2 linked regions of the Arabidopsis thaliana genome follow. The protein of the gene in region 1 interacts with the protein of each later gene in a pairwise test. Each region holds a gene or a part of one and is shown in the gene's direction. Other genes may lie near its edges. The genes, in order: LBD35 and AT4G23860.

Region 1 (3,344 bases):
ACCAAATCCAAGGATGGGCTGAAGATAAACAAATAGGCCCAAAAGAGGCCCACCCAAAAGGAGAAACCCTAGGAAACCTCTAGGAAGAGGAGCGCTGCCGTACACCGCCGCCAACATCGTCGGAGAAGCCAATCCAATAGAAAACAAAGTCGGAGGAGAAGTTTTGATAATCATGCTTGGGAGAGAAACCACTTAGCTTACTGATATAGTCTCGTTTGTTTATTCCTACCAAACATATGACTATGTTTTCGTAGGAAATTGGAAAAGTTGGTCCCAATGGCGGACCCATGTGGTGAAAAGAGGGGTCATTTGACACCCTTTAGTTTTAAATCGGGAAAATTCCCGAAAAAAACCCAACTTATTTAAAATCTGCCAGAAAACTACCTAAACCCGTTTTAAATAGTTTGAGATTTTTAGGAAATTTTCCGGTTTAAATCTTAAATAGTTTTCATCTTGTTTCGGTGACTGATTTGGTATGAAGCTACAATTTTGACCCCCACCCCCACCCCCCCACACAAATGCAGGATCGATTCCCGTTGTTGCCATTTTTTCTCATATATTTTATTGGGCCGTAGCCCATATATTTTGTTGTCACCGTTTCTTTTGTCAGATTCTTCTAATATTACATTCAACTTTCCAAAACTATAAATATACCAATTTTTCTATATCTTATTTGACCCAGATAAAAAAATTCCTTAGTCCGCGTCCTAGTAATTTCCTACCAAATTCCTTCAATATAGTTTTCATAGGGAATTAAAAGGATATTTTCCGACCCAATTCTTATCATTTCTTTTCCCATAAATTTCTTTCTAATCTCCTACAAATTTTCCTTCAACTATATATTTTGTAGAAATTTCGTATAACTTTCTCACGATAAGTTTCGTATGAAAATTTTCTACTAATTTCCTACAAAAACTGTTTTCATAACAAATCGTAGAGATATGGTAGGAAATATTTCATATCTTTCATCTACAAAATCTGTTTTCGTAAGAAAATCGTAGAGATATGGTAGGAAATATTTCATATCTTTCATACCAAATTTTTCGTAGGAAAATAGGTAGTATTTCACCATGTTTTCTTGTAGTATATAAAGTTTTTGTGATGGGGGTGATGGATATCGTTTGAACAATTTTTTTCTTTTGGTATGCCATCACTTGTGGAACCCTTATTTCTAGATATTTTGAAAATTCAAAAGCATGATTCTGGTATTGATTTACATATCTAGATCTCAAATTATGTAGAAAATCAAAAGTAATTACGGAAAGGCTTGTCGATTTGGCGATAAAGGCGGAAATTAGGGTTTTTGTTTTTGTTTTTGTTTTTACTTTGGTTAGCCGCTCAGTAAATATGAACAGAACAAGACCGAACAAATAACCTATTGCATATACAATTGTTGCCAATCGGTTTTGATCTCATTACTCAAACCGATTCAAACACCAAAGATCTTGGTTTGGTTTAGAAACTTCGGTTTGGTTAGGTTTTGTCAATAGAAAGTCACTTAGTCAATGCATTGAAAAAGATTTTCCTTTTTTAAGAATTTTTTTTTCATTAGCTTGCCAAAAGAATGAAGTGTTTTAGTCAAAATCTATCAAACTCCTATTTAATTATTTAGGTAAGTTGACAATGAATCCATTAATTATCAATTGAACTTCCTGTATATGAGTTTTCTCCATAACTAGTAATAATTTGATAGATTTGACTTGACTACTTCATTTTATTATCTTGCCAAAAGAATGAAGTATGTATTAGTCAAATCTATTATATTATTACTAGTTATCTAGAAAAAAGCATAAACAAGAAATCAAACTGATATTTATTGGATTCATTGCTAACTTACCTAAATAAGTAAAATTACAACTTGAATAATGTTTCAAGGCTTGACTATAAAACCCACACAACCATTTTTTACCATAGCACATCAACCACATTTATTGGACCTTAATTCTTTTGTGATATCAGAATATTCAAGATTCTTGAGGTAATCATATTGTTAATATACAGAAAATATGCATATATAAATTTTTTGGATGATTTTATTCTCATATATGTTTTTTGGTTACTAGGTAAGCGAGAAAAAAAAAGAAGAAGAATGAATTCCACATGTTGCTCTGCATGCAAGGTCATGAAATGTGATTGTGCTCCTAATTGTATATTTGCACCACATTTCCCATTGACCAATCTCGAAACTTTCGAACGCCTTCACAGAATATTTGGAGCGGGTAATGTCTTCAAGATCCTAGCTAATCTGGATCCTATCCAACGTGAAACTGCTGTAAACGCTTTGTGTTACGAGGCCGAGGCTCTTGAACGTGACCCCATATTTGGTTGTGTTGGCATCTTTAACCACTACAAAAATCAGCTTCAAAATTTAGATGAACAAATCAATTCTGCAAAGAATGAGCTTGCAGCCATCATTGGACTTGATAACGTTCCGCAATATTCAAGTATTCCTATGCCAGCTGATTTTTTGACTAATAAGTTTTCTTTACATCCTTATATTGAAAAGATGGAGGGACTAGATGAGGTTCAAAAGAAGGAACTTATGCAACTACCACCTGTTGATGCGCAAGTTATAGTGAATGAAATGTTTAGGAAGAGAGGAAATATAAAGATATGTGGTGGTCATGGGGATGCATGCGCATCAACATCTGGAGGGACCAGTGCAACTCAGAAGACCCTTCCATTTCCTCAAAACCATAACCAACCATAGTTCTAATTAAATGTCTTTTGTGTTTATTTTATTTTTGCATCTCAATTCCCATAATAATTTGGTGTCATTTCCTTTGTTTTATATCATTTCGTCAGAACTTCATGTAATATTTCGGTTGTTTTATCAATTTGAACTTCAAATAATGTTTCGTTTTATTTTGATTAGTCTATAACCATATTACATTTGAAGATCATTTAAAACATATAGATTATTTGATCAATCAGATGAGAGATTAGCTTCAGTTTTCGAAAGATAAAACTTGAGAATGAAAGTTGAGTAAAACAATTGACTGGAACAAGAACTTTACTACTTCAAGCCAGACACTAAACTAGATATATATATAAAAGCACAAGGAGACTGGTTCATAATCTTAACTATGAATCAGATTTGATGGTTTGAGCTAAGAGTTTGTATCCCTAAGTCCCATCAAAGTTTGAGTTATGAAGTTGATAAAATGAAAACGATCAAAACATAAAATTCACCATAGCCCACAACCAAAACAAATAAATGATCTTAAACAGAACCATCAATCAATATTGACTGCCAGAAGATCAATTTTTAAAGGACATACTTCGGTTCCCGGATGCCGGAAAAGCTTGACGCCGTTTTCCTTGACCAAACTCTGACTGCTCCT
Region 2 (5,295 bases), on another chromosome or scaffold:
AAGCTCACTGGAAATCTATTGGCGAATTTATCCTTCTAGAGTATATTGGGAAATACTAAAAAAGGCATACCTAGTGTATCATATAACGGTACACAATAGAGTCCATGTGCATTACAAGCCTACATCAAAAGTGCACTGTCAGTCCTCTAACAAAACACAATCAATGACATAATCATGATTCAGCCGCAAAATTACCTCCATGCTGATAATCCACTCAGGAGAATTTGCACCATAGATACCACATTTTGCTTCCTAATATCCCACATATCAGGAAACACAAGATTAAGCAAGGGAATAATCACATTGCGACAAAAAAAGGAAATAATGAGACTGAATATAGATATCTGAAAGGAAAAAGATGGATCTTACGTCCTTAACTCCAACACTTCTGAGAGAATTTCCAAGTTTCATGACAATGTCGTAGACTTCTTGGTATGTTTGCCAGACATACTTACCCGGCTAAGAACAATCAAAATAACAAGTGAATTTTATAATAACATGAAACGAAAATCACAAAATCAAAATCAATAACAAACAGTAACAACACCTTTCCATCTACAATCTCGCGGCGTCCCAGCATTGGATTGTTTGGATACTTCTCAACAGACATGCTGCAATAAACAATAACAGTAGAAAAATGTAAGTCAACAACCACAAAATATCACCAAACCACACACAAAGCAAAACAAAAAATGTCAACCAAATTCATGCAACTGTTAATTAATCACATGCCACTCAAAACGATGTTATTATAGACAAATGGCAAAATCATTAACCAACAAATTATATTTCTATCGATTAGAGCAACTTAGGTAGATCTTGCGATCCGAAAAACTTAAACAAACATGAATCAAATCCAGATAAACACTAGACGAAATTAAACTATACGATTCTTACTACTTGAGAATCCATAAAGAGCAAAAAACGCAAGTCAGAACAAATTCCATGATCAGTCAACAGATCAAGGATCAAAATCTCAGCAAGAATCGGAAACGAGGCTCATGCAACACAAACTCCGATCGGTTAAACGAGAAATCTCACCGGAAAACATCCCAACAACTATCCATTCCTTCGATCGGGTCGGGAAATCCGTCCTTGGCAAAGATACTCCGGTACACTGGACCAACTGATGGTCTTCCATCGCTACCTTCTTTGCCTTCTTCAACTTGGAAGATGTATTTCTTCTGCTGCGACATGATCTCTCTCTCTCTCTCTCTACTTCGTTCTCGTTCTCTTCTCTCTCTATCTGTAGAACGAGAAACTTCTGACGCGTTTTCTCAGATCGGAGAAGAAGTTAATAGAGACTTTCAACTACGACTGCGATTGGTTGCTACTCACTGACCATAAACCTGAAAAAGTCAAAGTCATATTCAACCTCTTATTGGGCCGTATACGTATCATCATATTAGGCCCAATAAAGTCATATTATCCAAATTGAAATTTATATTAGCCAATATTTAGATTTTATAATTAAGATGTCAAGAAACAAAACAAAAAGTGTGTGATTTTGATTTAAATAACTTTAGATTTTATCAATATTTTATCCCCCAATTTAATTTTTTTTTTAGAGGTTATCAATTAATCTACGATAATTAAAAATATGCTTATTACTCTATTAGTATGTGTGTTTGTGGATAGATTTGACTAGTTGCACACAGATATGATATTTGTTAAACATTAGTTATCAAAACAAAAAAATAAATATAAATTTTCAATTCATAAAAAACCATATAAGCAAGAATTTGAGATTTTGATATCCGTTTAATCTCGATACAAATTAATATTAACATGTACATTATCAAGTAACAATACTTATCTTGTGCTTATGCTTAGTTGCTGATAGTGGAGGGAAAAGGGTAATAGAATTGGAGGGTTAATGGCGGGAAAATGTCGATAAAGTCCCTTCCTTTATATAACATACATAAATTTTCTCGCATTTAAGAATTTTAACATCCGCTAGATCCTTCTTTCTTCCAAACCCTTAAGCTCCACCTTCGTTTTCCCCAATTTCTCTCTCTCTCTGCCTTCGTTTATCTATGTCTTGAAAAGTGAAAAGCTTTAGGGCTTTTACAAGTCTGAGAACTCCATCAATAACCTGGTAATGGTCCGATTGACATGTTTGATGTTTTGCGAATAATCTAGGGTTTCATTTTTTTTAAGGAATTTAGGGAATATCTCGTTTGAGTCTTTCGAATAGCTTTTATTTTACCCAATTTCATGTTTTTAGTAGTGAATTCAGGTGGGAATTTGTGAAGAATAATTGCGACAATGGCATCTGGTGTTTTCGAGGATGAAGCTGAAGGAACTATAACGATCAATGAATATATCGAAAGGCTTGACGCAGAAGAGCTGGTAATGTTCTCTTTCTCCTCTTGATCAGTTTTAAAGCTTATGTATGTTTCTGATCCTTACGAAAGTTTAATACTCTTCCACATTTTCACTCCTTGGTTGGTGATAAATCGTTTAGATTTAAGTGTAAACAAACGTCTTGAAATTGGATTCTGACCTTAAATTGACTACCTTTTCTGAAGCTAGTGGAGTGTGTTGGATTGTTATTGTACAGTCTCTGAGGTTTTGGCTAGCTAGTAATGATAGTGTGTGTCTCTTAATTAGTTTCTATTAATTTCAGTAGTGTGTATCTGTTTCTGTAATCCTATGTTATTTGGGTTTAGGGGTTTAATATTCATTAACTGCTTTTGTGATTCTTGATGTTAAGGCAGCGGATTTGGTGTTGGGTGGAGATGAAGGAGATGAGTGTACTTTCCCAAAGGGTTACATGAAAAGGCAAGCAATTTTCTCATGCATTACATGTACACCAGAGGGGAATGCTGGAATTTGCACTGCTTGTTGCTTATCTTGTCATGATGGCCATGAGGTAAATATGGTTGATATATAGCCAGGTTATGTATTTTGAAATCTGATTTCATAGTGTTAATTGGTTTCCTAATGGTTGAACATTGTTCTGGTTATGAAGCTTTTGGAGCTGTGGACTAAGAGAAATTTTCGATGTGATTGCGGGAACTCAAAGTTTGGAACTTTGGCTTGTAAGCTTCTCCCGAGCAAAGATATAGAAAACTCTGAAAATTCTTACAACCATAATTTCAAAGGCTTGTACTGCACTTGCGACCGACCTTACCCTGACCCAAATGTGGAAGAACAAGTAGAGATGATTCAGTGTTGTCTCTGTGAGGATTGGTTTCATGAGGAGCATCTCGGTCTCACACCTTCAGACAGTGTTGGTAGCCAGGTTTGTGGCCAGTGCTTAATCTTGTTGTTTACGATTGATTTTTTTTGTTGTTGGCGCTTAGTGCAATTTGTTATGTGATGTTAACAGATTCCAAGGGATGAGGAAAGTGAGCCGATCTATGAAGATTTCATTTGTCAAAACTGCTCCCCAGCATGTTCGTTTCTGACACTTTATCCTGAGAACTTGTGGGTTGTTGCTAAAGTAGATTCCACTGGTTCTGCTAATGCTTGTTCAGAGACAATTGAGTTAGACAAAAACCACATGGATTCTGAACCCGGCCAGCCAGAGAACGGTACTGATGCTGAGAAATCTGTTGTAGGAAAATGTTCTGAGACGATCAGTGACTCAGAACCTGGCCAGCCTGAGAACGGCACTGAAGCCGAGAAATCTGTTGTGCAAAAATGTTCTGAGAAGATCGATGAATCTGAAGCCGGCCAGCCTGAGAACAGTACTGAAGCCGAGAAATTCGTTGTGCGGAAATGTTCTGAGAAGATCGATGGCTCTGAAAATGTTCCTGCAGCTGGTTGTGTTATTAGGACTGATCTAAACTCGTGTCCTGAGTTTGAGAAGAAACCTTTGTTTTTGACCAAAAACTGGAGGAACATCCTATGCAGATGCGAAAAGTGCCTTGAGATGTATAAGCAGAGAAAGGTAAGCTATCTACTTGATGCAGAGGACACAATTGTTGAATACGAGAAGAAGGCGAAGGAAAAAAGAACAGAGAAACTGGAGAAACAAGAAGGTGAAGCACTTGATCTTCTGAATAATCTAGACCACGTATCCAAAGTTGAGCTCCTTCACGGAATCAAAGACTTCCAAGACGGACTCCAGGGTTTAATGGTATATATTGTCACCATCTATGAAAGAAATTTGATTACAATTCTCAGGAACCACTTCATTTAAAAAGACTTGATTCGTTGTTGGTTTTGTAGGAGTCTGCTGGGCCATCAAAGGCGATAACTTCTGCAGATATCGAGCAAATGTTTTCAAAACTGAAAAACAAACGTAAAAGGATGGAGTGAGAGGAGTTATAAAGGTAGTAAGTCTTTCTTTCGACATTTCATGTTAACTTTTTTTAGATATATGTTGTTTCGTTGGTTTGAAATGAAGAATGAGGAGGTTTCTTTCCTCTTCCTCTGCTCTTGTCTGTCTTTAGTTTCCTAAGTAATGCAACCAACTTTTTACTTTAGTGCATGAAGTTTGTAGCTTATGAAACAGTCGACTACTATATATAATAAGCTACTAGTTCTAGAACTACTATTTACTTTTATCTTTCCAACTATTTTTATATGAATTTAGTAAATACTCTTATCTTCATAATGTGTCTTGGACTCGGAAATACTTTGAGCATGCTAAAAGGAGAGCTTTTTATCGTCTTTTATTATAACCAACGATGCCCCATTGTCAAAACAACTCATTAACAGAGAGAGAGCCAAAAAGGTAAGGAACAGAGCAACAATTACACATCGGTAATGTCTTGCGACATACTAAGGAAGTCGAAGATCATCAATTACACATTTCGCAATCTCATGTGCTCTTTTGTTGGATGTAGGAGATTGTTAATATACCGCTTTGTAACTCCGGAAGCTCCTTTAAGAAGCTCTATGGAGCATGCTAAAAGAAGAGCTACTACAAACTACACACGCAAAGTAAAAAACTATTATAAATTGGGCCTTCTAAAGTACTAAGAATTAGGTTTTGGGCTTCGGAAAACCAAATTCAGTTTACATGTGAGGTCATCATGTTTTTTGTTATGACAAAAATTAATTAAATAGTATTGTAGGCCTGACCAAAAAAAAAAAAAAAGTTTGCCAGAAATCACTTAACCGAATATTAATTCTAGGTCAGTTATTACTTATTAGTGTTTTTTTGTTGTCGACATGAGTTATTGTTGTTTTTAAGAAAATATAGATCGAAGTTGGAAGCTCGTGAGTGTTGGGCCCTTAGAGTAACGACAGCCCCCGTGACACCACCACGTACTTGTGTTGTCCTTTTGTAAATTTCCACGAAGTTTCGTTTCGATAAGAAGAATTTGATAACGATCCAAT

The links.
Region 2: the proteins of LBD35 (region 1) and AT4G23860 interact in a two-hybrid assay, tested with the Arabidopsis thaliana proteins (one large-scale study listed by BioGRID).

Annotation. Positions count from the first base shown.
Region 1 is NC_003076.8:14,026,610-14,029,953, forward strand, and holds LBD35 (LOB domain-containing protein 35), read left to right. Parts: upstream 1-2,072; 5' UTR 2,073-2,089; coding exon 2,090-2,710; 3' UTR 2,711-2,817; downstream 2,818-3,344. Other genes in the region: AT5G35890 (Beta-galactosidase related protein), read right to left, coding at 1-117; AT5G35910 (Polynucleotidyl transferase, ribonuclease H fold protein with HRDC domain-containing protein), read right to left, coding at 3,262-3,344.
Region 2 is NC_003075.7:12,407,068-12,412,362, forward strand, and holds AT4G23860 (PHD finger protein-like protein), read left to right. Parts: upstream 1-1,939; 5' UTR 1,940-2,098; intron 2,099-2,227; exon of another isoform or gene 2,228-2,230; 5' UTR 2,231-2,268; coding exon 2,269-2,352; intron 2,353-2,466; exon of another isoform or gene 2,467-2,716; coding exon 2,717-2,875; intron 2,876-2,974; coding exon 2,975-3,247; intron 3,248-3,334; coding exon 3,335-4,087; intron 4,088-4,179; coding exon 4,180-4,269; 3' UTR 4,270-4,611; downstream 4,612-5,295. Other genes in the region: LACS4 (AMP-dependent synthetase and ligase family protein), read right to left, coding at 71-119, 196-252, 370-459, 548-611, 1,042-1,196.